Coturnix japonica: one gene and its partners. Each later gene encodes a partner of the first gene's protein in a complex. Links are inferred from orthologs where the notes say so. Each region holds a gene or a part of one and is shown in the gene's direction. Other genes may lie near its edges.

Evidence for each region.
Region 2: RBM48 (region 1) and PPIL2 share a complex: the UniProt entries of both Homo sapiens proteins name them as parts of the minor spliceosome. The link is inferred for Coturnix japonica from reciprocal best matches to the Homo sapiens genes RBM48 and PPIL2.
Region 3: RBM48 (region 1) and SNRPD1 share a complex: the UniProt entries of both Homo sapiens proteins name them as parts of the minor spliceosome. The link is inferred for Coturnix japonica from reciprocal best matches to the Homo sapiens genes RBM48 and SNRPD1.
Region 4: RBM48 (region 1) and SNRPG share a complex: the UniProt entries of both Homo sapiens proteins name them as parts of the minor spliceosome. The link is inferred for Coturnix japonica from reciprocal best matches to the Homo sapiens genes RBM48 and SNRPG.
Region 5: RBM48 (region 1) and SNRPF share a complex: the UniProt entries of both Homo sapiens proteins name them as parts of the minor spliceosome. The link is inferred for Coturnix japonica from reciprocal best matches to the Homo sapiens genes RBM48 and SNRPF.
Region 6: RBM48 (region 1) and BUD13 share a complex: the UniProt entries of both Homo sapiens proteins name them as parts of the minor spliceosome. The link is inferred for Coturnix japonica from reciprocal best matches to the Homo sapiens genes RBM48 and BUD13.
Region 7: RBM48 (region 1) and SNRNP200 share a complex: the UniProt entries of both Homo sapiens proteins name them as parts of the minor spliceosome. The link is inferred for Coturnix japonica from reciprocal best matches to the Homo sapiens genes RBM48 and SNRNP200.

Annotation. Positions count from the first base shown.
Region 1 is NC_029517.1:20,668,577-20,673,196, forward strand, and holds the start of RBM48 (RNA-binding protein 48), read left to right. Parts: upstream 1-1,654; 5' UTR 1,655-1,856; coding exon 1,857-1,982; coding exon of another isoform or gene 1,983-2,072; exon of another isoform or gene 2,073-2,094; intron 2,095-2,152; exon of another isoform or gene 2,153-2,181; coding exon of another isoform or gene 2,182-2,295; intron 2,296-2,938; coding exon 2,939-3,129; intron 3,130-3,255; coding exon 3,256-3,401; intron 3,402-4,070; coding exon 4,071-4,591; intron 4,592-4,620. Other genes in the region: PEX1 (peroxisome biogenesis factor 1), read right to left, coding at 123-889, 979-1,093, 1,334-1,417, 1,511-1,654, 1,944-2,072. UniProt on the Homo sapiens protein: As a component of the minor spliceosome, involved in the splicing of U12-type introns in pre-mRNAs.
Region 2 is NC_029530.1:470,221-474,272, reverse strand, and holds part of PPIL2 (RING-type E3 ubiquitin-protein ligase PPIL2), read left to right. Parts: intron 1-59; coding exon 60-135; intron 136-1,341; coding exon 1,342-1,502; intron 1,503-2,404; coding exon 2,405-2,480; intron 2,481-3,664; coding exon 3,665-3,771; intron 3,772-4,052. UniProt on the Homo sapiens protein: Has a ubiquitin-protein ligase activity acting as an E3 ubiquitin protein ligase or as an ubiquitin-ubiquitin ligase promoting elongation of ubiquitin chains on substrates.
Region 3 is NC_029517.1:39,382,146-39,386,250, reverse strand, and holds the start of SNRPD1 (small nuclear ribonucleoprotein Sm D1), read left to right. Parts: upstream 1-1,305; 5' UTR 1,306-1,482; coding exon 1,483-1,496; intron 1,497-2,048; coding exon 2,049-2,125; intron 2,126-3,214; coding exon 3,215-3,406; intron 3,407-4,105. UniProt on the Homo sapiens protein: Plays a role in pre-mRNA splicing as a core component of the spliceosomal U1, U2, U4 and U5 small nuclear ribonucleoproteins (snRNPs), the building blocks of the spliceosome.
Region 4 is NC_029537.1:791,419-794,918, forward strand, and holds SNRPG (small nuclear ribonucleoprotein G), read left to right. Parts: upstream 1-1,404; 5' UTR 1,405-1,491; coding exon 1,492-1,523; intron 1,524-1,720; coding exon 1,721-1,743; intron 1,744-1,872; coding exon 1,873-1,997; intron 1,998-2,482; coding exon 2,483-2,533; 3' UTR 2,534-2,655; downstream 2,656-3,500. Other genes in the region: protein FAM136A, read left to right, coding at 313-501. UniProt on the Homo sapiens protein: Plays a role in pre-mRNA splicing as a core component of the spliceosomal U1, U2, U4 and U5 small nuclear ribonucleoproteins (snRNPs), the building blocks of the spliceosome.
Region 5 is NC_029516.1:41,570,070-41,573,417, forward strand, and holds SNRPF (small nuclear ribonucleoprotein F), read left to right. Parts: upstream 1-1,327; 5' UTR 1,328-1,481; coding exon 1,482-1,484; intron 1,485-1,568; coding exon 1,569-1,694; intron 1,695-1,795; coding exon 1,796-1,860; intron 1,861-2,334; coding exon 2,335-2,401; 3' UTR 2,402-2,460; downstream 2,461-3,348. UniProt on the Homo sapiens protein: Plays a role in pre-mRNA splicing as a core component of the spliceosomal U1, U2, U4 and U5 small nuclear ribonucleoproteins (snRNPs), the building blocks of the spliceosome.
Region 6 is NC_029539.1:4,398,410-4,402,556, reverse strand, and holds the end of BUD13 (BUD13 homolog), read left to right. Parts: intron 1-209; coding exon 210-318; intron 319-438; coding exon 439-532; intron 533-868; coding exon 869-974; intron 975-1,353; coding exon 1,354-1,492; intron 1,493-1,713; coding exon 1,714-1,898; intron 1,899-2,049; coding exon 2,050-2,131; intron 2,132-2,468; coding exon 2,469-2,562; 3' UTR 2,563-3,478; downstream 3,479-4,147. UniProt on the Homo sapiens protein: Involved in pre-mRNA splicing as component of the activated spliceosome. As a component of the minor spliceosome, involved in the splicing of U12-type introns in pre-mRNAs.
Region 7 is NC_029537.1:1,057,818-1,062,352, reverse strand, and holds the start of SNRNP200 (U5 small nuclear ribonucleoprotein 200 kDa helicase), read left to right. Parts: upstream 1-1,442; 5' UTR 1,443-1,531; coding exon 1,532-1,576; intron 1,577-2,657; coding exon 2,658-2,821; intron 2,822-3,684; coding exon 3,685-3,856; intron 3,857-3,975; coding exon 3,976-4,168; intron 4,169-4,535. Other genes in the region: protein FAM178B, read right to left, coding at 808-1,078. UniProt on the Homo sapiens protein: Catalyzes the ATP-dependent unwinding of U4/U6 RNA duplices, an essential step in the assembly of a catalytically active spliceosome. Plays a role in pre-mRNA splicing as a core component of precatalytic, catalytic and postcatalytic spliceosomal complexes.

The DNA of each region.
Region 1 (4,620 bases):
GACTTTACTCAAGAACCTTCTGCAAAGCCTATCCTCGAACTGCACATCAACTAGCCAGCTCCAGTTATCCAATAGTAAACATTATCCAATAAAGCCCCAAAAGATAGTGTGCTCAAACTGACCCAAACTCTTCCAACATGTAGGGCTTCCCCACCGTTGCCATACTCTATGACACTCTTTAGGTCTTCAAATCCATTCCAAACGATCTGAACAACAGACCCCTCACTGGACGCTTGAATGTTACTGGAATTTTTTTTGTCTTGCGTACTAGTCAAATGTTTTTGCTTTTCAGATGGCAGATTTTGCTTTGCTTCTTGATGACGCTGTCTGGGGGAAAGCAGCCCGTTAATTTTCCCATAAGTTACTACAGCATTTGGATCCAAATCAGTATATTCTAAATTCTGTGGAAAAACATGAATGGCACCGTGTTTCAGAAATGCATGAACAGCTGATGCGTTCTGTACGCTGGGAGGCTGGGACTGGCATACTCTAAAAATGGAATCCATGTGAATTAAGTTCAGCAGCTTGTCTTTGAAGGCGCTCATTTCATCCTTATCACACAGAGTCTTTTGTTTCTGTTCAGCTGTACGAGAGAAAATGCTCCCTATGAAATTCCACATATTTGGGAGAACACTTGAGCCAAACGTCACATTTGCATCAGCCTTACTCTGTTCAGGGACTCCTGGGTTTAAGTGAGGTTGACTGGCAAAAGGCTCCTTTACAGTTACGTCTTGCTCCATGCTATTCTTCACAAAGCTCTTGAGTAAGATGTCACCTTCTGTAGAAGGCATGTCTACGACGTTTTCCTCAAGCTCACGCGCTTTGGGGCAGATCAGAAGCTCCGTGCAAGGTTCTAATCTCCCATAGGGGGCTGCTGGCATAAGTGTACCTGAGTATGGATAAATCAGATGAATGAATGCATCCACTCTTGCAAAACAGCTTACTCAAGGCACCAGCAAAGCATTCACTGCTGCTTACCAATTCTGATGTAAACGTGAGTGTGGTGTTCAACCCAAACAGGAAAGATGGCTTTGGGGAATACGATTCGGATCTGGTCCAGAAGATGCTTTTCAAGAGAGGAAGCGTGCAGTTCCTGGGAAAGTGTGGTATCATTGTAAGCTACACACTTGTACAACCTTTAAAATGTGTTTGAACATAGAAGATTCACATCTTTTTCTAATACACCATTTGAAACATAAAATACAATGAAAACCCACAAGACTTAGCATTTGCTTAGGAGCAGAAAAGAACGGGGGATTGCGACAAAAGCTTGTATCAACATTCTCTGTCATTTGCATGAAAATGATGTGAACAGTGGGACAGGTTTTCTTACCAGTATTTCCCAATCATCTGCTGAGAGCGGTTCCACTTCTACTTGCTGACAGGAGGAGACGTGTGAACAGGGCTCCACGAACACCTGATAGAAGCAACATTATTTCTGAATAATTTAACTCCTTAAACACATAAAACCTCTACTCAGAAACTCAAAAAAGGGACCTGCATTTCAAACCTGTTCTCCATCTGCAATGCCAAGCTTCTCTGCTAAATGCCTGTTCATCTCTGCGATATTTTCACCCCGCTGACCTCGATGCCTCATTTCCATCCAGCTCAGGTAGATGGGCTCATCACGGCAGGATACTTTGACAGCTTGGCCCTGTGATTATCAGGCAGATGAAACGAATTACTATCAAATCATACTCAGAAATACTCAGACCCATCTGGGTCCAGGGGCGAGGGGTCCCGGCCCGTTCGGAGGATGCACAGTCACCACAGCGACAGTGCGGGGGGCGGCTGGTTGCCCTGCGCTGTCGCTGTGGTGACTGTGCGTCCTCTCGAGGAGGGCTCTGAGCACCGCCATGATGACGGGATACGATGGGGGGAGGAAGGAGAACCTCTCTCCCACAATCCCCTCCGAACGGGCCGCCCCCATCTCGTCCCCGTACCTGCTGCAGGCGGAGGTGCGAGGCCAGCACGGCGGGCAGGTGAAGGAAGCAGTCCCGGGTCCCGCTCAGCACCACCGTCACCGCGGCGACTCCAGCGGCCCCTCCGCCGGGGTTACCGCTGCCCCACATGCCGCCAGCCGGGTGGGCCGGGCTGTAGTTGCTCGTTCCGCCCGGCTTCTCGGCAGCGCCCACTTCCTTCCCGGAAGAGCCGACCGGAGCCGCGGTGGCGGCCGGGAAGATGGCGGCGGGCGGTGCTGGCGGGCCGGGGGAGGCGTGTAGGCACCACCAGCAGCTGGGAGCATGCGGGTCCAGGGCCAAGTACCGCGAGGGGCGGCGACCCAGGGCCGTCAAGGTGCGGGGTGAGGGCGGGTGGGCTGCTGGAGACTTGTTTAGTCCGCAGGTGTCGGTGCTCTGACATCTGGAGAAGCATCAGCTCCAGCTGATGTTCTGTGATGTGTTCATCCCTGCTTGAGTTCATCCCTGCCCGCGGTGGCTCCACACAGCGGGCAGCACGAACGCTTTGAGTTGTTGTTTTCGCAGTGAGGTAAACGTGGGCATTTTAGAGCATTGAACAGCATCTCCCCTATGAGGAGAGACTTAGGGAAGTGGGTCTGTTTAGCCTTGAGAAAAGAAGGCTGAGAGGGGACTTGATCCAGGTTTATAAATACCTGAGGTGGGGAAGCCATAGTGGTGAGGCTGGTCTCTTTTCAGTAGTGCGTGGGGACAGGACTAGGGGTAATGGGATGAAACTACAGCATAGGAAGTTCTGCATTAATGTGTGGAAGAACTTCTTTACAGTGAGGGTGACGGAGCACTGGAACAGGCTGCCCAGGGAGGTGGTGGAGTCTCCTTCTCTGGAGATATTGAAGACCCGCCTGGACGCCTACCTGTGTGACATGGTGTAGGGAGCCTGCTTTGGCAGGGGGTTGGACTGATGATCTCTAGAGGTCCCTTCCAACCCCTACAATTCTGTGATTGTCCTGTGCTTCTTTCAGGTGTACACCATCAACTTGGAATCGCGTTATTTACTAATCCAGGGAGTTCCTGCGCTGGGCGTCATGAAGGAGTTAGTGGAGCAGTTTGCCTTGTACGGAGCCATAGAAGAGTACCATGCACTTGATGAATATCCCGCAGAGCAGTTCACTGAAGTTTATCTGATAAAATTCCAGAATCTGCAATGTGCCAGGTATTATACACAGCACTATCTGCCTTTTGTTGTTTTAATCCTTCACGGCCCCTTTATGTATGATCTACATCATACAGAGTTGAAGTAAAACCCTCAGCTCTGCTAATGCCATTTAGTTTCCTTCAGGGTGGCCAAGAAGAAGATGGATGAGCGCAGTTTCTTTGGGAGTTTGCTGCACGTGTGCTACGCTCCAGAATTTGAAACAGTCCAAGAAACCAGGGAGAAGCTGCAGGACAGAAGGAAGTATATTGCAAAAGCAACAAATCAAAGAGGTTTGTAGTTAAATCTCATGTCCAGTTTTAATTCCAGTGGTTGGTACGTCTTGGTAAAGCCAAAAGCATCCATTGATGAAAATATACTGTGTTTAGCTGTTTTACATTAGGACATTTCTCAGTTATTCCTAGAGATGGACCTTTCAGAAAGCAACGTTTTAGTTAACATGCACTTTAAAGCTTTTAAACCTCATTGTTTCCTTCATTTCTTTTCAAAACGTTACCTGAAATTTTAAGTACTGCCAGGAAACTGAGGATCAGTTTGTTCCCCTTGTTACAGTTCTTTCAGGCATACCCAAAAAGAGAGATTAGTAAGAGAGCCCCCTCCCTGCCCCTTATTTCCTGCCTGTCATTTGGGTCAGTAAGGAACACGAGGAATGGATTGGGCTGACAGGCAGCTTTGCTGCTGAGTTCCCAGGCAGCGCTGAAGGCTGGACAAGCTGTAAAATAAGTACAATGCCAGGCACAGGCTTCTCCTTTCCTATGCTTATGTACTTGGATATCATTATCCACTGCAGGTGCTGCTTAAGCAGAATCACAGGAAGGTGACTGGGAATGAAGTATTGCTGGTATTATTTCTGTCACTGTATTGAACACTTTATGTATTAGAACTAACAGTGGCATAAAATAATGAAGCTGTTTTCCTTTTCTTTTCTTGTTGTTTTAAAGACTGCTTTCTGTTGAAGAAAACAGAGAGGCCTCGGAGGACCAAGTCTGATTCTCAGTGGAGTACCCCAGGATCACATGCAGCCACTCACTGGGATCCATCCTGCTTTCCAGTTCCTCATGGGTTGTCCCAAAACATGGAATATCCTTCTGGCAATCACAGTCAGGACCTTTTGGCTTTTCCCCACTGCGACAACCCCAGTGCTGAAACCTCTGGGAACTCCAGTCAAAGCTCATCCCTAACTCAGAAGGCGCATCCAGGAGGATGTGCTGCACCAGTGCCTTTAATTCAGCAAAGAACAGTTCCAGCTGATAACGGCATTGACAGGTTTATGCCTCGTACAACTCACCTGCAGGAACGTAAGAGGAAGAGAGAAGAGGGTAACAAATGTGCCCTCACTGAAACAAACGTGGACAGTACTGACATCGTTATTGGCCCACAGCTACCAGAAGTACCTCAGGTGGATATGGATGATGATTCACTGAATACATCAGCTATGCTGATTCGAAATAAGCTGAAAGAGGTATGGATTCGTAAAGTTCTGATATTTTC
Region 2 (4,052 bases), on another chromosome or scaffold:
GCATGAAATGGGTGCCCGTGGAGTTCTCTGATTGTGTTTTTCTTAATTGTTATTTGCAGGATCCAACAAACCTGGATAAATTCAATGTCTCCAACTTTTTTCATGTTAAGAACAACATAAAAGTGGTTGATCCAGGTAAGGCTGAACTTGAAGGTAGGCTGAGAAAACAGCAGCCTGAATTTGAAACCGGCCCTTTTGCATCAAAAATGTCAATAAATTTTGTATCAAAGATGTGGTTTGTTTAGAAATCATGAGCTGTCTGTGAGTATCTGTGAGTGCTGTGCCGACACAGAAGGTTGTCCTTTAAGAGTATGTGGGGAGGGAGAACTGAAAAGAGGAGGAGAAATGATTTGCCAGTATCCTCTCAGCAGAGCCAGGAGCAGCAAAGCTCCATCCTGTCACAGGTCGCTCCCACCTGCTGTGTGCTGGGCACTCTCATGTCAGTGCTGTGGCAGCGTGCTGTCTGTCCTTCTGGCTGGATGGCAGCAGACGTCTTACAAACTAAGACTGATACATTTTTCTAATATACCCCTAAAATTATTTCAGTACAAAATAAAGTACCTTTTTTGTCCTTCTTTGTGGGTTTTACAACTAAGGACTTTGCAAATTATTTATTTCTATTCTTTGATAGCTAAATGCTAATATTACATAACTGGAGGAATAAAGTCTCTCCTGTGTCCCTGGGGTTTCCACTGGAATTGTTTCTGATACTGTTTGCATATTCTGAGCATGGTGTGTTTTTCTGAGTCTTAGCTGTGCTCAGCTCCTTAAGGCTGACTCTTCAAGCATCTCTTTCTCTATTACCCACTTATTTTTAGAGGGTAATATCTGAAGGATGGAATGTTTAATTTTCAGTGAATAGAAGACATGCCAAGATGAATAAAACTTGCTTAAAACGAAGAAATTCTCCAGGTCTAACCCCACTTCCTCCTCCTGGTGTCCCAGTAAAGGTCTGATCTTGGGACTTCTGCATTGCAGACCTGGTCATTCAGGGGACAAAGGACAGGATTTGATGTTGTACCCAACAGGCTGTTGTCTTTATTGTTCTATAGAAGTAATTTGGTTAGACTTGCATGAACTTGGATAATTCCTAGAGGTTCCTAAGAGATTTCTGCAACAATTGAAATTGATTTTCTGTTTTCACGATCATATCAGCATTCATTGTGTCGTGTTTCAGGTTACCTTGTCTTTAGTGTTACACATTGCTACTTGTTGCTTCTGCAGGAGCAGATATAGTTACTGGACTTTTTATTTTAAAAATGTAGAGAGATCTGGAAGACATTCGTGTAACAAGGAGTGTTTTTCTTTTAATTTGGAATGATTTAACTTTGTCTTATCTAGATGAAGAAAAAGCAAAATTGGATCCATCTTATTACTTGAAAAATACAAATACAGAGACCCGAGAGACTTTACTGGAGCTTTATAAGGAATTCAAGGGTGATGAGATTCTAGCAGCCACTATGAAGGCTCCTGAGAAGAAGAAAGTGGATAAGCTGAATGCCGTAAGTTGACGCAATTTGTACTTGGCACCAATATACTTCTTGAAGAGAGAATATTGCAGGACAGACACCATCCCTTGTGTTCTCAGTTACATGGAAGTTGATCATAGTTGCGAACATGAAACTCATACTGGGATTCCATTGCAATGCGTCGTGTGTGTCAGTGAGTGTCTTTGTTGAATCATTACAAATGAACCCAAACTCTTTAGAAACAGAGCAAGAAGGAGGATTCTGTCTTGTATGGTCATTATGTATGTGCTGGGAGAATGTTTTCTCCCAGGTTGCAATCTCCTGCTTTGAATTTGTTTGTCATTGCTTCCTGCAGTTACTGGCAGAGGGAACACACCTTAAGGGCAGTACAGGTGAATCATTTCTGGTGTGGGCAAATACATAAATCAACTTCAGTTGCTTCCCCATTTTTTCTACTGTGTGTTCATGGTTATCCAAAGAAACATTCGTCTGCATGTAGATTTCCTCCAGCCTGGCAGAGTATTTTTCTTTCCTTCAATCATTCTGGGATGTCTGTGTTTTCATGCTTTGATTATGTTTGCACAAGAAAGAGTAGTAATGCAGCATATGGCCTTTTGTGAGGAATAAATTCTGATAATAAAATCTTTGCGTAATAATGTGTTGAATTGTTGTTGAAGGAGTAAACCACTTCAGCTCAGTGCCTGGGCAGCCTTCACTAGAGGCGAAATGTTACGGGGAACAGATGGAGAAATACCAGTGCATCACATATCTGTCCCTTTCTATAGGAGCTAGAGCAGGAAATCTGACTTCAGAAGTATGATGTAAATGCCGCTTGTGTGTTTACACTGCTTGTGCAGTATCTAGTACATATATGGTATTTAAAATAGATTCTAAGATCTAATGTATTTTTCTTTTGCTTCTTCTTCTGCAAACAGGCCCATTATTCCACTGGAGCAGTAAGTGCTTCCTTCACCTCCACTGCAATGGTACCTGAAACTACCCATGAAGCAGGTACCAGAACTATGTATTACAAGCTGTTTGCTTACCTTGCAGTTTTAAGGTGTGCTCCCTTGAACACACACTTTTACAGGGATAAGGAATGCGTTGATAAGCAGTTAGTGACGATGCAGAAATGTATGTACATTCCAGTGATCTCATTCTGGAAATAATGGAGCTATTATGCGTTAGCTTAATCTCTGAATGGCAGTTACTTACAACATTAATTTCAGTTCCATGTATTTTCTATGCCTGGGACCCACAAAATGGGGTATCTGCTTATGTAAGTTAGCTGTGAAGTGTAATCTCTCCTGGTATTGCATACAAAATCTTTACCACCCTTTTGGTCTAACCTAGTTTGGTTAGATTAACAGCAGGTTTTTTAATGATAACTTTTGATTTACTACTTTTCAAAGTTGTAATCTATGCGAAAGTACATTTCAGTAATGTAAAGATTTTCTTTCATTTTCTAGCCTCCATATAAATCTGTAGGCCTAATTAAATGTGAACACTGATTAAATAGTTGAGCAGTTAGCTTGTCTGTGTGGAGAGATGTCTGGCTTTGGGCTCTTCAATGTAAAGTACTGAACGAAGATGGAATGCCATACTGAAATGACATGGTTACCAGGTCGTGTTCCTGAATTACAGTGGTTTACACGTGAATCTTTGAGCATTGGAAGTGTTTGACTAATTGGATGTTTTGACACAACAGGAGTGGAAGTATTCCAGATTGATCCCTTGGTTTGACTTTCCAGTAATGTTTCCAGTAATTTAGCTCCATTTGTTTCCAGAACTGGGTAGATCCTCCATATGTCAGCAGTTTGTGGTTGGCCGATGACAACCTGTTTAACTTCCAAGTTTGACAAGAAATTATTTGGTTTCAAAGTAATGTTTGTGATTGGCAGACGTTACTTGAAAATTACAGTATATGATATCAAATGTTTCTGTGACTTAAAAGCAGATGTATGTAATTTATATATTGTATTGTTGGCTCTCAAGGAGTTGGTGGCTTTCTGTAATGGAAAGTGGTTTGCACAGAGAGATTAATGTGAGGCTGTCGGAGATAAATTGCCGAGTGCCACCCCTGAAGACCTAGTGCACTCCAGAGGAATAAGCCAGAAAGCAGAATCTAGTCATTTGTTTGCTGATCAATGAATAAACTTCTAGAGACCTAATTACTGCTTTTTGTTTTGTTACAGCTGCTATTGAAGATGATGTTGTGAGATACCAGTATGTGAAGAAGAAGGGCTATGTACGACTTCACACTAACAAAGGAGACTTAAACTTGGAGCTGCACTGTGACATGGTACGGTATGCCCTGTAGGCTGCAACTTCTAATTTATCTCTAGGTAACAAATACAGGAGGAGCTGGCAAGGGAAATGTCCAGAGATGGGGAGCAATGTGTAGTTGTAATAGACACAGGTGAGTAATGAGCTCTTGGTGATTTTGGTGTGCCTTCTGCATGGAGTTTCGTCTTTCAAGCAAAATATTTTAGGAGACTCACAGAGGTGGTTTGTTTTTTTGTTTGGTTGGTTTTTTTTCAATGTCAAGCGAGGTATTAAAACACATTAATTGCATGTAATAGC
Region 3 (4,105 bases), about 19 Mb from region 1:
TTATGCTAAAGGCCCAAAGTTCTCCATCACTTTAAGAATGGTTGCAATGCAAAGGTGAATTTGGTATTGTTTTTGCTAGTCAGCTGCTTCTGTTCTTGATGTTGTTGGAATAACTCACAAAAAAAAGGAGTATGGATCAGAGGAGGAGGTGTCACCCTAATGCCATGTTGCACTTGGGAGCAGCTTCTTGCTTTTCATGCATGATGTAACACACTTTAAAAGGAAAGGTTTTTTTCTTTAAAAAGCTACAAAATAACATGTGCTGGTTAACAATAAATGTGTGTCTTTAAATTTAGTGCTTCCAAGCTGTATAAAAAACAAGTAATCCTACTTGAGGACCAATTTTAAACTATTTTGTCACTTATTTTATATGGTTTGTTCAAAACCAGCCGTGAAACTTGCTTAAGGCGCTGCACATTGTTTAATATTTCCTGTAAGTACAGCTGTATATTCAGATTGCAGTTATAAAATGTAAATGGGGGGAGAAACGTGTAGAATCTTAGAGCTAGCACAGTTGTTGTTACTGAGGTTAGAACACAAAGCACTGATACTCCAGTGTTTCACTGTGTTGTGACTGAAACTGTGTACAGACTTTTGCAGTTATCTGTTCATTTTAACCTTGAATGTTGCTGGAGGCTTCTGGTTCTATGTGAGCATAACCTGCACATAAACATCAGTACTCACCATGCCTCTGTCTGCTTCTCGATGCTGTGCTGGGAATACCAATTGGTGGTTAACTGGAAACTCCTCTCTGACTTCATTTACCAGTGTCACCTCTGTCATAGACTCAAAGTGCAGGAACACCATAAACTCAGTATGTAATGGTTCTTACGGCTCTCGGGCAGCTGCCCTCTCAAACTTGGTTCTTTGCGGTTTGTTTAAAGCAAAACATAAAATAACAGATTTCATGTGGAAAAGAAGAGCTGTGGTGTGTGTGTAGGGATGGAGGGAGAGACGTGGGTTAACGTGGGTTCTCAGAGCTGGAGGGCAGCCAGATCTCAGTGCTTTACAAAAAGAGTCTGTATTGCAGAAATCACAACAGTGTACTCATCAATGATAATAAAAGGTCTGATTTTTCTAGATCCTGGCCGCTGCGTTTGTGTGCCTGAGCTCCTTATCAACTGCTTAACGTAGAAGCATCGCTGGTGCGGACTAGACTATTTGCACACAGCTACAGTGCTTAGATACGTATAATCCCGAGCCCACCATTCCAAAATGGCGGCAGCGCATCCCCTCAGTGCCCGCCCGCCCTCAGCCCCGCGCAGTCGCGCTGCGTCCCGCCCCTTCCGCCGCGCCGCTTCCGCCCATTGATCGCAGCCGGCGGCGGCCGCTCAATCTCTCGGGGCTCGGTGCGCTCGTTGGAGGCCGCGTTCCTGTCCGCCCGCGCTCGCGGCGCTTCCGCCGAGGCCTTTTCGTGCCCCCAGGGGCGGCCGCCGCTGCCCGCCGAAAGCCCCGCGGCCGCCGCGCCGTCCCGCCGGCGCAATGAAGCTCGTCAGGTGAGCGGATGGAGGCGGATCGCGGAGAGAGGCGGCGGGGAGCCCGCGCAGGCCGCCTCCCCCTCCCCACACACAGGCCGCCCGGCCTGTCGGGGCCTCGTTGCGGCCTGGGCTCTGCGGCGAGCGGCTGGGCCTGCGAGCGGGGCTGCCCGGGAAACCACCCCGGGGGGTTGGGGGCGGAGCCGGGTGGAAGCGCCTTCACGCGGTGCCGAGATCCAAAATGGCTGCTGCTTAGCTGGTGGTCAGAGAGCAGCCCGAGTTGGACGGGATGCACGAGGGATCCCGAACCCAACTCACGCAGGGCGCTCAAAACACAAACCCTGTGACTGGAAGCGTTGTCCCGACGCTGCTTGAGCCCGGTGCCACCGTTTCCAGCCCCTGGCAATTGGGCGCCGTTTGGGGCTTTGGCTTTGCCCCATGGAGCACCTTCAGTGCAGTTCATGGCAGCTGAGAACGTTTGCGTTAGGATGTACATCGATCGGTTCCCCGTATCAGCATGTGGTTGGACATAAGGCTTAGTGTGACAGCAAACACTCTGTGCTTAATTCCTAGGTTTCTGATGAAGCTGAGTCACGAGACTGTGACCATCGAGCTGAAGAACGGGACGCAGGTGCATGGCACCATCACAGGTACGGTGTGCCAGCAGCCTCCCAGGCTGATCTGAGCTGTGTGGGGTAAAGGAAACCGGTGCTGGCGTGGCTGGTGTAAGTGTGGTAATCTGAAATTACTGCAGCAGCATGCAGGCATTGTGAGACAGTGTCACTGCTGTATCAAAGGGCAGTGGTCATACAGCCTATCCACTTATGTTTCAGAACATTTTGGGGCTGGAACTTGAAGGTCCCTTCCAACTTAAACCGTTCTGTGATCTCATTGGTAAAGCTGCAGTACACTGTAGTTGCATCAAGAAGTCACCACTGAGTCACTGGCAGAGAGATATTTTTCTAACGGTAGCACAGATAAATGGTAAATGCTGAACATGGTTACAATCTACTGAGATGTAAGGGTTAAAAGCACGTTATTTTGCAGCCAGATCCGTCCATTTTGTTAGAAGCTGGCTGTGGTGGCAGCACTCTGTGCCTCCTACCCTTGTACTCTCACAGCCTTCGCTGTTGAGCAAAGTCTCTCTCATGCTGTGCTAAGAACCTGTAAAACCCTGCAGTGCCATCCATGGTTCTAAAATGACAGTCATCCCTGTACATGGGTGTACGAAGCCTGTTGCAGCCACGGTGCCACCTGCAGTTGGTGCTTCTGATGCTGATGTTAGATGTGTTTGATCAGAAGATCATGGTTGTACTTAGAAGGAAACGCAGTGTTATTTTTCTACTCAAAAGTTCGTTTTCTTTCTTTTGAAAGGAGTAAAAAAGACAAATATTATGCTTTTGTAGTAAGTGGCAGTTTATTTGTTGTCCGGAGGAATCATTTTAAGTGTTTAGTGTTGCTATGACTTAAGACCTAGGAACAGATCCCTACAGCTGGTGGTAAGTGGCTCTTCCTTTGGAAATATATCAGTGTTGAGGGCAGCAGCTGATAAATCAGCATAATTAATAGAGGAAAAAAAGATGTAGTTTCTTCTTCCACTTAAGAGGCTTAATTAACAAATGGCACAGATCCAGAAGCGTGTGTTAGCAAAGTCTTGAAGCACGTGCACAGTTAATAATAGCCAAAGAGGAGTCATCCTGTGTGTTCCCACCCCTGAAATCAGCCTTGTGTTATTTCAGGAGTGGATGTCAGTATGAATACTCATCTCAAGGCTGTGAAAATGACGCTGAAGAACAGGGAGCCTGTACAGCTGGAGACATTGAGCATTCGGGGGAATAACATCCGATACTTCATCCTACCAGACAGTTTGCCCCTGGACACCTTGCTAGTAGATGTTGAACCAAAAGTCAAGTCCAAGAAAAGAGAAGCAGGTGAGTGCATGATTTCCCAGTCTCTGCTTGTTTTACTTTGTGTTTTCGTGCTCTCGCTCTGAAGGCATGTGATTGGAAATCTTAATTTCTGTATTGCTTTCATCTCTGAGGGTTTGTACCGAACTCTGCCTTGTGTACCTTCATTGTGTCTGTAGTCTCCTTTCATGAGAAGTTATTTACACAGCTTCTCATGCATCTGTTTTAAAGTGTAAACGTCTTTAAGTGTGAGTAAATCTTAACCTATGGCATTCTCAGAGGCAGCACCAATGGGATGCACAGTTTCTCTTTTCAAAATGTCTGCTCTGTTTCCCTGGTTTCTGTGTGTAACTTTGTATTTAGCCTAATAAGAAAATATAGAGCAGCCTCAGGAGCGGTGCTGGACTGAAATCTCACTTGGCAGTGGATACAAACAATCTGCTGGAGAACCGAATTGAAGGGGCTTCAGAATGCAGAGGGAGCTGAGGCTGTGTTCCTGTGGATAAAGCCCTTAAAGCCTAACAGAATAGGGAATGCTTCTGGTTTTGTTCTGCGCCGTTAACAATTAATATCCAGTAAACTCCACAAAGTTTGTGTCTTCAGGCAGTAAAAGTTTTGCCCAGCAGTGTTAATCAGTGTGTCTTTCCAGAAATAAGTTAAAGGTAATCGTGCTCTAAAGCAACTGCTTGCCATTTCTCCTGTAATTTATGCTTAATTATTTGG
Region 4 (3,500 bases), on another chromosome or scaffold:
TCCTTTAAAAAGAGCGTGGCCAGTAGGGTGAGGGAGGTGCTCCTGCTCTGCCCTGAGGCCGCATCTGCAGCACTGGGTCCAGCTGTGGCTGCTCAGCTCCAGGCAGGGAGCTGATGTAGGGACATAGAGATGGTGGAGGCCTGGAGGAGCATCCCCTGATGGGAGAAGGCTGAGAGCCCCGAGGGCTGTTCACCTGCAGAGGCTGAGAGGGGATCCAGTCAATGCTTATCACCATGGGGGAGCCCCAGAGGTCCCTTCCAACCCCTGTGGTTCTATCACTCTCCTGATCTATGCCCCTTTATCCCCTTGCAGGACCGCCTGAGCCGCTGCACGCTGCACTGCTCTGACAGAGCCAAGGATGCCCTGGAGGCGGGCGGTGGGGAGACAAGGGCACGCTCCCAGCTCGACGCCTGCGTTGCTGCCTGTGGGGACGAGCACCTACGCCTGGTGCCAGGCATGGCCAAGAGGATGCGGGATGGCTTGGCGGCCCTACAGCACTAGCGGGTGCTGTTGGGGTGGGGGAAGGTGGTATTAAAGGCAAGGAGCTGCACTCGTGGTGCTCGAGGGGTGCTGGGGGTTTGGGGTGTGGGGGTGCAAGGTGTGGGGTGGTGGCTGTGTAATGTATGGGGTGGGTGTGTGCAAAGTATGGGGTGATGGCTGTGCAGTGTATAGGGGGTGGGATGAGCCATGCAAATGTGCAGTGTATAGATAGGGTACAGGTGTGCAAAGTGTGGGGTGATGGCTGCGTAAGGTGTGTGCAGGTGTGCAAGGTGTGGGGTAGTGCTTCTGCAGGGTGTGGGGCACTGTGTGCAAAGGGTGCTGGTGTGTAAAGGGTGCAGTGTGCAAAGGGTGCAGTGTGCAAAGGGTGCAGTGTGCAAATGTTGCAGGGTGTGCAAAGGGTGCAGGTGTGCAAAGGGTGCAGGTGTGCAAAGGTGCAGTGTGCAAAGGGTGCAGGTGTGCAAAGGGTGCAGGTGTGCAAATGGTGCAGGGTGTGCAAAGGGTGCAGGGTGTGCAAAGGGTGCAGGGTGTGCAAAGGTGCAGTGTGCAAAGGTGCAGTGTGCAAAGGGTGCAGTGTGCAAATGGTGCAGGGTGTGCAAATGGTGCAGGGTGTGCAAAGGGTGCAGGGTGTGCAAAGGGTGCAGTGTGCAAAGGGTGCACACTGCCAGCTGTGAGCCGATGGCTGTGCAAGGTGTGCACGGTGAGCCGTGCAGGGCTTGCAATACGTGTATCAGTGCCTTTGTGTGTGTGCAATGCCGTGCATACAGTGGGTGTGCAATGCGCGGTGCATGCAATGCAGCAGAGCTGCAGGTCTCCATGCACGTGCTGCATGGGGGCCGCTCCAAACGCGCACGCGCGCCGCGTCCGAGCGCTCTGATTGGCTGCCGGCGAGATGCGAAGGTTGGCGGGAAAAGGGGGCGGGGCTTTGGGCGTAGCGTGCGACGTGATGACGTCATTACGCGGCGCGAGCGGCAGCGGCGCTGAGGAGACGCCATGAGCAAAGCGCACCCACCCGAGCTGAAGAAGTGAGAGCTGGGCCAACATGGGGATGAGGGGGGATGAGGGGGGATAAGGGAGGACTGAAGGGGATGAGGGGGGCCCAGAGGGTCGGGAGGGGCCGTGGGGTCCGGTTCGGGTTCGGTCTGGGTCCGGTTGGGCCCGCAATGATGGCGGTCCCGACCCCACACTGATGCGGCCTGCTCTGTTTGCGCTCTCGTTGCAGGTTCATGGACAAGAAGCTGTCGTGTGAGTCCCGCTGTTATAACGGGGTTGTGCCATGAGCCCACATTCACAAAGCCCCCCCCCCCCCCCCATCCCTCCCTTCCCTTTTAACCCCCCCCTCCCCTTGTTTCTGAATGAGCCGGTTTCTCGTAGTGAAGTTAAATGGCGGCCGCCACGTGCAGGGGATCCTACGGGGCTTCGACCCCTTCATGAACCTGGTGATCGATGAGTGCGTGGAGATGGCGCCTGGAGGGCAGCAGAACAACATCGGGATGGTGGTGAGTGCTGGGGGGGATGGCAGCCCCCAGGCCCACTTTGTGCCTTGGGCTGGGGGCTTTGGGCTTTGGGCTTTGGGCTGGGGGCTTCCTTTCAGTTCAGGCCTCCCAGTGCCCATCCGTGGCCTTGGGCACCTCTAGGAATGGGGAACAGCCTCAGGAGGGCAGAGCAGGATGGGACAGAGCCCTCCGTGTCTGCTGCAGTAACAGAGGGGTGGCAGCCCAGCTGGCTGTGAGGTCACAAGAATACATTGCTGTCTTATATCAAGCTCTCATCCACCTTTTCTATCAACCACCCTCCTGCAGGAGCCTTTTCCAGCCGGCTGACTGCTGCCATGAGCCCCTGCAGTTCTCTCATTCACTTCAGCTCTTGGAGCTGCACATGCCATGCAGCTTTCTAGGAGGAAAAGTCAAAGGGAAAGAAAACCTTCTGTGCTGTGGGCATAACGTGCTTCATCTCACCTCCTGCTGACAACTTCTCTTTGTAGGTAATACGAGGAAACAGCATCATTATGCTGGAAGCTTTGGAACGAGTATAGTGGCAGAGGAACCCTGTAGTGACCCGACCCCGTTGTGTTTTGTTTACTCACCTGAACCTAATGAAGCAACCACAAGTGTAAGCTTATTTTTTGTTAAATAAATTTTGTACTGGTTGGTGTAACCCGTGTGAGCTGTGCTTGGTGGAACTGAAGCCTGGGGCAGTTAATCTTGTGAGTGCAGCAGTGTGTCAGTGGCAGCTTTAAAGCTGGAGGATGGCTTTCAGGCAGCTTTATTTCTTTGAGTGGGTGTTCAAATGATACTGGCTATATCTTTAAACCCCCCCCCATAAATAACAGGCTGTGGCACTTCTATTCCTAGCATTGCTCTGTAAAGAGTGAAGGGGACTGAAATATCTGTCCTGCTCAAGTGTTTGCCTGCAACTTTGTGCTGGTCTCCACCTCTGTGCTGAGGCAAAAGTGGTTTTGGTTATTCTCATTGCCCCCAAGCAGACAGAACAAAGCATTGACCCCAGGGTACCAGCAAGCTTCTAAGAGTTGAATCGTGTTCCAGCACGTACGGACTCCTGTGATGCTGCTAATCTCAGTGCAAGTCCTGCAATTTAGCTTTAATCAAGTGCATTCATCTTTTCTAGCACAGCAAGAGTGAGGCTACACTAGTGGAGGCTTGTTAGTGGGAGTTTGAGCTAAGCAAGCACAACTTGCTGGTACAGGAGAACTCTGCTGATGGAGAACCGAGCAGCAGCTCTGAGACACAGCACAATGCAGGTAACACAGACAACAGTTCAAGGCAGCACCTGCTTACATTCAAACCAGTGTGTTGCTTTTATTTGTAATGGCAACATGGTATTTACTACGTAGTTAAGACATGAGTGAGGTTCAGCAGCAAGTAGATGATCGCCATTTCCCTTCACCAGTCCCACCCCAAGGGGATGGGGTACAATCCTTGATACACCCCTTCAAAAAGCAGAAGCAGAGAGATTTAATGCTAACAAGCTGACTTATTCAA
Region 5 (3,348 bases), on another chromosome or scaffold:
GTCCTACAACCATCCACCCTCATAAACAGTTGTTTCCCTTCCTATTTCTACCCTCCCTTCAAATACTGGAAGGCGACAATGAGTTCTCCCCGGAGCCTTTTCTTCTCCAAGCTAAACAAGCCCAATTCCCCCAACCTTTCTTCATAGGAGAGGTGCTCCACCCCTATGATCATCTTAGTGACCCTCTTATGGACCCATTCCAAGAGTTCCACAGCTTTCTTGTGATGACGGCTCCAGGTCTGGGCACAGTACTGCAGATGGGGCATCACAAGAGCTGAGCAGAGGGGGACGATCACCTCCCTCTCCCTGATGGCCACCCCTTTTTAATGCAGCCCAGCACACCATTGGCCTTCCAGGCTGCAAGCACACACTGCTGGTTCACATCCAGCTTCTCATCCACCAGGACCCCCAAGTCCTTCTCCAAGTCATGCATCAGAGGAACTGACTATATGAAGAAAAGAATGTAGCTGGTCCTGTACTTCTTGGTACACAGCTTTCCCAACACAAGTAGGAGACATGATAAAAGTTGGTTCCAAACCTAAAAAGTGCTGTTTACAGACAAAACACTCATATTGTTCTATTGTCATTCACATATACACCATTAACAACTGTCAGAAAAGTGCAAGTCTTCCATGGCCTTTAACCCAAAGGACTCATGCTGAGCTCATTGCATTCTGACGCCTTGTATGTTTTCACTCCAAGTTCTCTATTCTTTGCTGCAAGGGGCATGAAAACCGTCCATATACACGATTTCCCACATTGTTTATTATTTCCTACATATCCTCAGCACTAACTTCCTTGCAATAAACTTATAAGCAATTCTCTTTCAACTGGCGCCCAGTGAGTTTTACTGTCAGAAAGAAAAAAAAAAGCTTTATTTTAACGTTATCTCTGTTCCCCAGCCAACACATGAGGACAAACACATCCATTATAAATTATCACAGAAACAAATACGAGTGCACTTCAGATAAACATTTATTAAGAAGAATCGTAATTGCTGCTCTTATCCTATCCATCCATAAAGGTAGGGATGTGAGGGGGGACATTCTGGATCTGCAGAAGACACGGTGTGAGGCAGCCGGGGGCTGAGGGAGAGGTGGACAGGGAAGGGGAGGAGAGGGATGGAGGGGCAAAGGCCTAACAGAGCAGAGCGGCGGCACAGTGCTGCGCTGCCACCCCCCGGCCACCACAGACGACACAACCAGAGGTGGTATACGACCATTGGCTGGAGCAATGAGGAGGGCGGCCATTCCAACTAATAAGATTGAGCCCACAACCCCTTTTCCCTTCGCGCTCCGTGGCTCCGTAGCCAATCGCGAAGGCGGCGCGGCGGGGTGAGAGGTTGGAGGTCGGCGCGGCGGCACGGAAGTGGAAGTGGAAGGTATCTCAGCGCTGCCTTCCATTCTGCCTCAGCCCGCGGCGCGCACGAGGCGATCCCGCCTGGCTCTGCGCTTCTCGGGCCGCCATCGCGCCCCATCGCCATGGTGAGGGCAGGGCAGGGCAGGGTGGGGGGAGGCTGTCGTTAGCGGTTGGGATGGCGGGCGGTGCTGACCATTGCTCTCCCCTAGAGCCTGCCGCTCAACCCGAAGCCCTTCCTCAACGGGCTGACGGGGAAACCGGTGATGGTGAAGCTGAAGTGGGGGATGGAGTACAAGGGATACCTCGTCTCCGTCGACGGCTACATGAACATGCAGGTGAGGGATGGAGGGAGGGACCCGGGCCTTGCTTGCTTGTGGGAGGGAAGCAGTAGTGAGGCTCCTGTTGGTGTAATGTTTGTGCTGATTTTCGTTCCAAGCTTGCAAACACAGAAGAGTACATCGATGGAGCACTGTCTGGACACCTGGGAGAAGTTTTGATAAGGTAATCGTGGTGCCTGAGCTGGGGAACGGGGTCTTGTGGGGACTTCTGTGTCTTGTGTTACTGCTTTGTTGAAGCTGGTGGATCTAGGGGATGTGCTTGTGTTTTAAGTTGAAAGAGGGAAGATTTAGGTTGGATGTTAGGGGAAAGTTCTTTACTAGAAGAGTGGTTAGGTCCTGGAACAGGCTGCCCAGTGAGGTTGTGGATGCCCCGTCCTTGGAGGTGTTCAAGACCAGGTTGGACGGGGCCCTGGGCAACCTGATCTAGTAAATGTGTATGTTTGGTGGCCCTGCCAGACAGGGGGGTTGGAACTACATGATCCTTGAGGTCCCTTCCAACCTGGGTAATTCTGTGATTCTGTGTGATTCTGTGTATTGGAGCACTAAATGCTGCTGTAACTCCCATGTGAAGTGAACATTGTATTTGCGAGGGAAATTAAGACATTTCAACTAAGGGAGCTCTTGATTCTATTTACAGGTGCAATAATGTTTTGTACATCAGAGGTGTGGAAGAAGAGGAAGAAGATGGAGAAATGAGAGAATGATGATTTGTATATCTGGAAATAAAGGGTTTTTTTTCTTTTTTTTTTTTTCTTTTCCACAACGTTGTCATCAGGTGTTTATTTTGTTCTTGTATTTGACTATGGGGGGAGTTCACCCAGAGGCTATAAAGAGTCATGAATTTCAGTGGCATTCATAGAGCTAAAACAGCCTGTGGAATGGGAATGCCTGATCTCAATCTGCAGTATTATGGAAAGAACACACAAAACACTAACAACAGGCCACTCTTTGTTATCAGGCATCCAGATAACTGAAGTTTTGGCAGGAACATAATTGCTTTCTCAAATGTTAAGAGCAACCATTGACATTAACCGAAGCTGTTCTGTACCTATCAGCATTTCCTAAAGGTAACCATTGCTTTGCTGATGCTGCTAGTCAGAGCCTCCCCTTGTGAAGGATCTACTTGCATCTCTAGGCTGGAGAGAGGTTCTACAAGCCAAAACACAAATGGCTGTACCTCATGGATTTGTGTGTGACTTTGCGCTGTCTCATCAGTGACCATTTGTCTTACATCTATTCTCAAATACACAGGTATACTTTCAGTGCTACAGATGGATTAAATACAGCAAAAAGGCAGTGACCCAGCTGTGGAGTTAAAACTCCCCAGCACAGTAGGTGTAAACAGAACCTGCTCCCATATCAGCGTGGCTCACTGAGCTGTGGGTAGGGCACTGCAACTGTGCCTCATCTTAATGCTTCATCAGCAGGTGGTGCCATCATCATGAAAACACCTGTGTGATAGTGTTAGCTTTTCAGTGTAACTGGGAAGCTCCAGTATATGCTGGGCAGGACTGACCTGCTGTGCTGAGCTCCACCACAGTGTGCTGTGCGACATGCTTGACACATTGGCTCACACTGTTGCCGCTCTTTGATTTCTGTTTTCATTCATACTGTGATACTGGTGGGGAAGGCCAAAATAAGCAGCAGGAAC
Region 6 (4,147 bases), on another chromosome or scaffold:
TAAATGCTTGTCCAAAGGGAAAATGAAGTTTAAGCCTCGTCTCTGAACAGTGCATGTTCAGAAGGAATGGAACATAAAGGCTGATGTCAATGCTTGTTCTTTCCCTACAGCTTTACCTCACTGAAGGTTTTGATTTTACTGTGGGTTATCTCATCTGTCACCATCTTTAGGCCTCTGGTGGTTCTTATTAATGTATGTTTGTGTTGCAGATGTTTCCTCGGTAAAAAAGATGCGTCATGACTCTGATTCTCCACCTCCACGAAGAGGTGCCCAAAGTGCCTCTGAGGCAGACCTTTCTCCCCAGCGGAAGAATCACAGGTTAGGTCTATTCCACATGTGAATTCTCATAATGTGAATTATGAGTGATTCTCATAAGCACGGTCCTCTTAAATGTGTTTAGAGCAAGTCTTCATGCTCCAATTTCTCTCATCCTCAAAGGGCTCTGCCTTCTGGAAAGGGTCAGCGTGGTTCAAGGAGTCCCTCCAATCTCTCAGATCATCGCTACCCAGATGAGAAGGGATCTCCCAAGAAGGTAAGGGGTTTGTCTTTCCGTCTGTGCTGAAGATTGCTTCCTCTGATAGCAATCATTAACAGTGTGATGGCTTACAGATGGTAGAGCAGATATATAGCTTGTAAATGCAGCTGTGCCACACTGTCAGTTTGCCATAAGACCACGTGTGAGGTAGATGGAAGATGAGCTCTGCATGAGCACTCTGTATTTCTGGAAGTCTGTGGAAGCTGTTTGCAAAGATGGCAGCAAAGTGGCTTTGTAACAGAGCTGCCTCTCGTGTAACTTCCCCTTATCATACCTGTGAGTCACTGGGCAGCTCTCAGCCAGCAGTAAATGTGATTCTTGTTTGATTTGCAGGCCAAGATGATGTCTGGGGTCAAAGCTGGTTTGGTGTCAGCTGACGTGCTGCGGAAAGAGCAGCAGGAGCTCAGGAAGCAGGAGAGAAGTAGCAAGCACTTGGAAGGTAAAAGTCTGAAACCAGTGCACAGACATCAGCTTTTAGTCTGCTTTTGGCTGCCTGTTAATGCTGTATCAGGGCATGTCTTAAAATGCTGGTAGTAAGGGTGTTGATGGAGAGTGTCTGTGTTGGCTGGCATCCAGGCATGCTGATGAATATACACAGGTAAAAGCCACTGGGTCTCTAAAATAGAAATTTATGAGTGGTGATTTCAAAGAGGTGCCAATGAGACAATTGTGAGGCTTTTGTGTCTCATCTGCCCCATCTGCTATTCCTGATCTGAAGGAGCAGGCTGTTACACCTATAGCTCATTGCATGAGCTATGGAGTGGTTTGGAAACTGAAATATTCCCACGTGAGTGACTCAGGATATCTGTTATCCCTAGAGGAATCCCGACACACGGAAACCATCTTCCGCGACAAGTCAGGCCGCAAGAGGGACCTTGTGCAGGAACGTCTTGAGCAGAAGCAGAAAGATGAAGCAAAGTTGTTGCATGATGAGCAATATGCCAGATGGGGAAAGGGGTAAGGTGTCTTGGTGACATGTCACTTTACAGGTTGCAGACTGGGGGTTGGCAATGAGTTTTGTGCCTGGGACCAGGTTATTTTGTGTGGGATTACCCTGTCTGTTGCTGGGTGCTTCTCAGGGATGCTACACACAGTAGATTCTGATCAATACTACAATTTGAGCAGATGGCAGTAAATTATTCCTTAGTTTTGAGGTGGTACTTTGTATGTGTTTTTAGATTAGCACAGGAAAGGCAGCAGCAGCAGAATGTGGAAGATGCAATAAAAGAAATGCAGAAACCATTGGCCCGTTACATTGACGATGAAGATCTGGATCGAATGCTGAGAGAACAAGAGAGAGAAGGAGACCCCATGGCTGAGTTCATCAAAAAAAGAAAAGCCAAAGAGAACAAGGAGAAGAAAGGTATGGAAAGCTGTGCTGGTGCAGGTTTTAATGCCCAAGGAGCATAGAAATGCAGCTGCTGTTCAGTGAACAGTGTGAGGTTGCTGTGGCAGCTGAGTCCTGAAGATTGCATTGTAGTAACCAATGTCTGTATTGCTGTTTTTGTCTCTAGAGAAACCTAGGTACAGTGGACCAGCACCTCCTCTCAACAGATTTAATATATGGCCTGGGTATCGCTGGGATGGGGTGGACAGGTAGGTATTCCTGATACACTGATGTCATTGAATGGTAGTAAAACTAAATGAGCTTTTGCCTCAGAGAGCTTACAGTGAGTGAGATGCAACTTATTCAACCTTAACACTTCTCATGGTTATGAATGGCTGGTAGGGACATGCTTGTCTGGGACAAAAGGGAGCCAGGTTCTGTTCTGATCTGTTGTGGCACTGCCTGCTGTTTGCCACAGCTCAGAGTGGAAACTCAGCTGGAGGTGTTGATGCAAAAGTAGTGGCAAACATGTGATGTCATTTAAAAGCTTTGTGGCTTTAGTAGATGTGCACGGTAGCCCATGGTCTTGTTGGTGTTATTTTGTAGGTCCAACGGATTTGAGCAGCAGTTCTTTGCCAGGATGGCCAATAAGAAGGCAGTTCAGGAGCTGGCATACAAGTGGAGCATTGAAGACATGTAGATAGAAGAAATAACCATGTGAAACAGCACGACTGAATTGAGATCTGCCTGCTACCACTGCCAGAGCCAAAAGTAACGGCTCCTCTGCCTGGACCAAGCACTGTTCTTGGCATTCAGTATCCCAGTGGATTGTCTTCTTGGAAGCAAGGCTGTGTTTAGAGGAGAGCTGCTGGAAAAGGATTTTCCTGCCAGCCAGAAAGGACCAGTGCCAAAAACTGGAGTGGCTGCTGCCCACAGAGGAACACTTCTGCTCCCTGGTGTTCCTTCATGAGGTGCTGCAGACACTGGTGTCTGACCCACTTATTTCTTTACTAATAAACTGTAGAAACTGTGTTGAAATGTTCTATGCCAAATGCTTTGTCCTCTGAAGGCAGTTGACAGGTCTTCAGATGTCCTAAATCTCAGGTTTATTTCATGGTGGAAGCATGCTGGGATTTAAGTCATGGAGGGTTAATCCTATCTGGTGTGTTGGCCTATTGCAGCACACGGTTGTGGTTTCAGCTATGGCTGAGTTCTTCCAGAGGGTGTTTTTTGCTCTGAAACAACTTAATACTGTGAGCTGATTTACCTGTGGGCTCATGTTATGTCTGCCCCATGTTCTCCATGTCCTTGCTAATGAGCCCAGAGAGCTTCTGCTTGTTCAATGTTGTGTAACTCTTAACCCTTCTGGTTCCTGGAGTCTTTGGCTTGCAGTGAAGTTAGCACAGCAGAGCTTCCTGTAGCCCTTATGGGAGCTGTGCCAGGTGGGTCAGTATGTGGCAAGAAGCTGCTTGCTGTACATATAACTCTAGTTCTCTACTAGAAATGGCTGAATGAACAACACGCCATGTTATATTTGACAGCAAAGTCTTCAGAAGCTCCAGCAGCTCCTTGGGGGTCAATTTCTTGTGGCAATAAACACGCAGAGGCCATTTAAACTGTTTCCCTTGGCCATTATTTTCTTCAGAGTAGCTAATGGTCATGGATTAGTCCCTACAGCTTTCTCTCTGGACAGCCTTGCTGATGGCTCTTAGCGCTGCTGCCTGGGGGCTCGCTTCAGCACGAAGCATAACCTCTCTCTTGTGATTAGATTTGTCCAGCTTGCAGCTGGAGGCCAAGCAGAGCGCTGCGCTCCATCCCTGATTGCAAGAAAGCATTTCTAACTAAAAACAACGGGTTGGTAACAGACATTGTATGGAAGGGTTACATAGCAACAGCATCGGAAGGTTGTGAGCCTGAGATGCTCTACCAATGAGTGTCACCACTGTACCTCACAACTGAACGCCACCGCTGCAAGAAGAAGCTCCCAAGCTGCTCCACCGGACCCTTTTGTTTAGAGAGCATGGATCTCTTTCTTTATTGTCTTAAGCTGTTTGTTTGGTCTGTTATCTGAGCTTCAGGTGGCAGTTTATTGATGAGCATCCAGATGAAGTGAAGCTCATGGAGGAGTTCAGAACAAACAGTGGAAGCTTTTAGGAGGTGAGGGTGGATCTTGCTGTCATTACTGCCTGAATGTTTTTACTATTATAAGCAGTGAAATGTGATTCTTGTTTGATTTGCAGGCCAAGATGATGTCTGGGGTCAAAGCTGGCTTGGTGTCAGCTGAC
Region 7 (4,535 bases), on another chromosome or scaffold:
ATGGGGGACTCCATAGGGCACTGTGGATGCAATGGGGGGCTCTATAGGGCCCTGGGGATGCAATGGGGATCAGTGGGGGACACTATAGGGGCTCTGGGGATGCAATGGGGATCAGTGGGGGGCACTGGGGATGCAATGGGGGGCTCTATAGGGGCTCTGAGAATTCAATAGGGATCCATGGGGGACTCTATAGGGCTCTGTGGATGCAATGGGGATGCAATGGGGATCAGTGGGGGACTCTATAGGGGCTCTGGGGATGCAATTGGGGGCTCCATAGGGCTCTGGGGATGCAATGGGGATCAGTGGGGGGCCCTGGGGATGCAATGGGGGGCTCTATGGGGGCTCTGGGGATAGAAAGAGGATCAGTGGGGGACTCTATAGGGACTCTGGGTATACAATGGGGATCAATGGGGGACTCCATAGGGCACTGTGGATGCAATGGGGGGCTCTATAGGGCCCTGGGGATGCAATGGGGGACTCTATAGGGGCTCTGGGGATGCAATGGGGACCAGTGGGGGGCACTGGGGATGCAATGGGGGACTCTATAGGGGCTCTGAGGATTCAATAGGGATCAGTGGGGGACTCTATAGGGGCAGTGGGGATCAATAGGGATCAATGGGATCAATAGGGATCAATAGGGATCAATAGGGATCAATGGGGAGCAATAGGGATCAATGGGGGACTCTATAGGGGCTCTGAGGATTCAATAGGGATCAGTGGGGGCTCTATAGGACCCTGGCTATACAAGGGGATCATTGTGTTGCTCTATGTGGGGCCAAACATGGTCCCCCCCCCGTCCTCTCTCACCTGTCCGTGCTCCGCCCTGAGGCCTCATTGGGGGCGGTGAGGCCGGAGGCCGCGGATCCACTGGGCCGAGCGGCGGCGGGAGGAAGGGGCGGCCTACCCGGAGGTGTTTACTGACACGGAGCTGCTGGTAGGAACACAGGCTGTACTGGAAGGACGAGCTGAAGAGCCCCGAGCGGGGCACACGGGCCGAGGACAGCGGGATTTGGTACCAGCGGAGCAGCCCCGCCCGCTGACCTCGTCGCGCCGACGTCCCGCGCAACATGGCGGCCATGGGCGGGCGGGGTGAGAGAAAAGGGCGGGCTCTCCTCAGAAAGGCGGCGCTACCAAGTGCGGCTACTAACGGCGGGATTGGCCGTTTAACTGCCGACAGGAGCCCGGCAGCCAATCGCGGCTCGAGGGTTCGACCAATCAGCGCGCGCGCTGAACGGGATTGGTTAAAGAAGAGAAGTGTCCCGCCCACCTGTGCTCTCAGCCAATCAGAAGGGGTGGAGAGTGTCCCCGCCCCCCACCTCCCGCGGTGCATGCTGGGAGCTGCAGTCAACGGGCCTCTGCCGCGGTGCATGCTGGGAGCTGCAGTCAACGGGCCCCTGCCGTGGTGCATGCTGGGAGGCCTTGTGCGGAACCTCTTCCGGGATCGGGCTGTTTCCGCTTCCGTTGTTTCCGCTTCCGCCGGAAGTTCAGCTCCAGGGCCTGTTCCCGTGCACGGCGGTGGCGGGGCGGCAACATGGCGGACGTGACCGCTCGCAGCCTGCAGTACGAGTACAAGGCGGTGAGTGCCGGCTCGGGGCCTGTGCGCGGTGGGGATGCCGGCCTCATTCCTCCGGGCCTTCCCCGTCTAACGGGGGCCAATATGGCGGATCTCGTATAGTGAGGCCTTGTCGGGCCTTGTGTGGCCTGTGGTGATTTAAACCGGGCCTGTTTGAAGCCGGGGGCTTTAAGAGATGGTTGGAGGTGCGGCCTGCGTCCCTTATGGGCGGTGGGGGCTGCTGGATATAGGGCTGTGGGGAGGATAATAGGGGCTATGGGAGGATATAGGGCTGTGGGGTGGGGGTAATAGGGGCTGTAAGAAGGATATAGGGCTGTGGGGAGGATATAGGGGCTGTAGGATGCTTATAGGGCTGTAGGATGCTTATAGGGCTGTAGGATGCTTATAGGGCTGTGGAGGGATATAGGGCTGTGGGGAGAATACTGGGGTATGGGAAGGGTAATAAGGGCTGTGGGGAGGGTATTGGGCTGTAGGAAGAAAAATAAGGACTGTGGGAGGATATAGGGCTGTAGGAAGGATATTGGGGTATAGGAAGGGTAATAAGGGTTATGGGAGGAATGTAGGGCTGTGAGAAGGATGTTGGGCTGTGGGGAGGGATATAGGGCTGTGGGGTGGATATTGGGGTATGGGAAGGGTAATAGGGGCTGTGGGGAGGATATAGGGGCTGTAGGATGGCTATAGGGCTGTGGGGGGGTAATAAGGGCCGTGGGGAGGATATAGGGCTGTGGAAGGATATAGGGCTGTGGGGGGGAAAATAAGGGTTGTAGGATGGATATAGGGCTGTGGGGGGGTGATAAAGGCTGTGGGGAGGGTATTGGGGTATGGGAAGGATAATAAGGGCTGTGGGGATGATATAGGACTGTAGGAAGGATATAGGGCTGTGGGGAGGATAATAAGGGCTGTGGGAGGATATAGGGCTGTGGGAGGGATATTGGGCTGTGGGGAAGGTAATAAGGGTTCTAGGAAAGATATAGGGCTGTGGGGAGGATAATAGGGGCTGTGGGAGGGATATAGGGCTGTGTAATAAGGCTGTAGGAACATAAAGGCTCCACCTGATGCATTGTGACCCCCATCCCCCCCCCAGAACTCCAACCTCGTGCTCCAAGCTGACCGTTCTCTCATTGACCGGACGCGACGCGATGAACCCACGGGTGAAGTGTTGTCCCTGGTGGGTAAATTGGAAGGGACGCGGATGGGAGACAAGGCGCAGCGCACCAAGCCACAGATGCAGGAGGAGCGACGGGCCAAGTGAGAGCTGAGCGGGGCCTGGGGGTGGGAGGGGGCTCTGAGGGGGCTGTGGGGCTTCAGTGGTTATAAGCAATGTGGAATCACACAGTGATGGAGGTTGGGAAAGAGCTGTGAGGTGATGGATCCCAATTGGTGCATACACCACTGAGTGGTGGCATTGAGTGGTGGTATCGTGTTGGTGTATGGTCAGATACCAACATATATGGTTGTTATATGTGGTTGAGTTGTGGGTCCTCAGAGCCCCCCCAGGTTCATCTCCTGCCCTGGTGCCCCCCTCCAGCTTATACCCAACACAACTTCAGTCGCCTTTGGCACCTCCAGGGTTGGGGCACCCACAGCTCCTCTGTTCCACCACCCTCATAGTGAAGAAGGTGACCCTAAATCTCCCCTCTTTTACCCCAAAGCCGTTCCCATATCCATCAGCCCATCCCCAAGCACCACATACACACACCTTTTGATCCTTCAGCATCCTTCACAGCTTTCCCAATGTAGAAATACTTCCCCTCGACCAAAACTTCCCCAATTCAACCCAGGGCTGGGGTCTCTTGTGATGCTGTGGGATAAAAGATCAACCCCCCCTCACTGCTGTGTCCTCCTTTGAGGCAGATATGGAGTTTCTCCTTTTCTCTCCAGGCTAAATAACCCCATTCCCTAAGCTGCTCATTGTAAACTGGCTCCAGACCCTTTGCAGCTTCATTCTCTCTCCTTGTCGGGAAGCGAAAAGTGAAAGGAAAAGGGCTAAAAAGGAGGAAAAACGGGGCAGAGTTTACCTTTATTTTTAACAAAGGGAAGGCCCACGCTTTGCTGTCCAGCATTACTGGGATTCCCTGCTTTGAGCTGCTATGGGTGCTCTCTGTTTGCAGGAGGAGGAAGCGCGATGAGGACAGACACGACATCAACAAGATGAAGGGTTACACTCTGCTGTCCGAGGGCATCGACGAGATGGTGGGGATCATCTACAAGCCTAAAACCAAAGAGACACGGGAGACCTACGAGGTGTTGCTGAGCTTCATCCAGGCTGCCCTCGGGGACCAGGTGAGGAGCTGGATGTGTGTGATGGGGGCACATCCATATCACAAGGGGGATAATATCTGTGCCATAATATCTGCCCCTATGGTGATCTCCTGCTTATGTGGCTGCTGGTTGTTCCCCAGCCACGAGACATTCTGTGTGGAGCTGCTGATGAAGTGCTGGCAGTGCTGAAGAACGAGAAGCTGCGTGATAAGGAGAGACGTAAAGAGATCGATCTGCTGCTGGGCCAGACTGACGACACCCGTTATCACGTGCTGGTGAACCTGGGCAAGAAGATCACGGATTATGGTGGTGACAAGGAGATCCAGAACATGGGTATGGACAGATTATGGTGACAAGAAGATTTAGAACATGGGTATGGGCACAGATTGTGATAGTGACAATGAGATTCAGATCATGGGTATGGGCACAGATTGTGGTGGTGATAAGGAGCTTTAGAACACAGGTATGGGCACAGGTTGCAATGATGATAAGGAGATTCAGAACATGGGTATGGGCACAGATCATGATAATGACAATGAGATTCAGAACATGGGTATGGGCACAGATTGTGGTGGTGACAAGGACATTCATAGCATGAGTATGGGCACAGACTATGGTAGTAACAAGGAGATTCAGAGCATGGCTGTGGGCAGACTATGCTGGTGACAAGGAGACTCAGAACATGGGTATGGGCACAGAT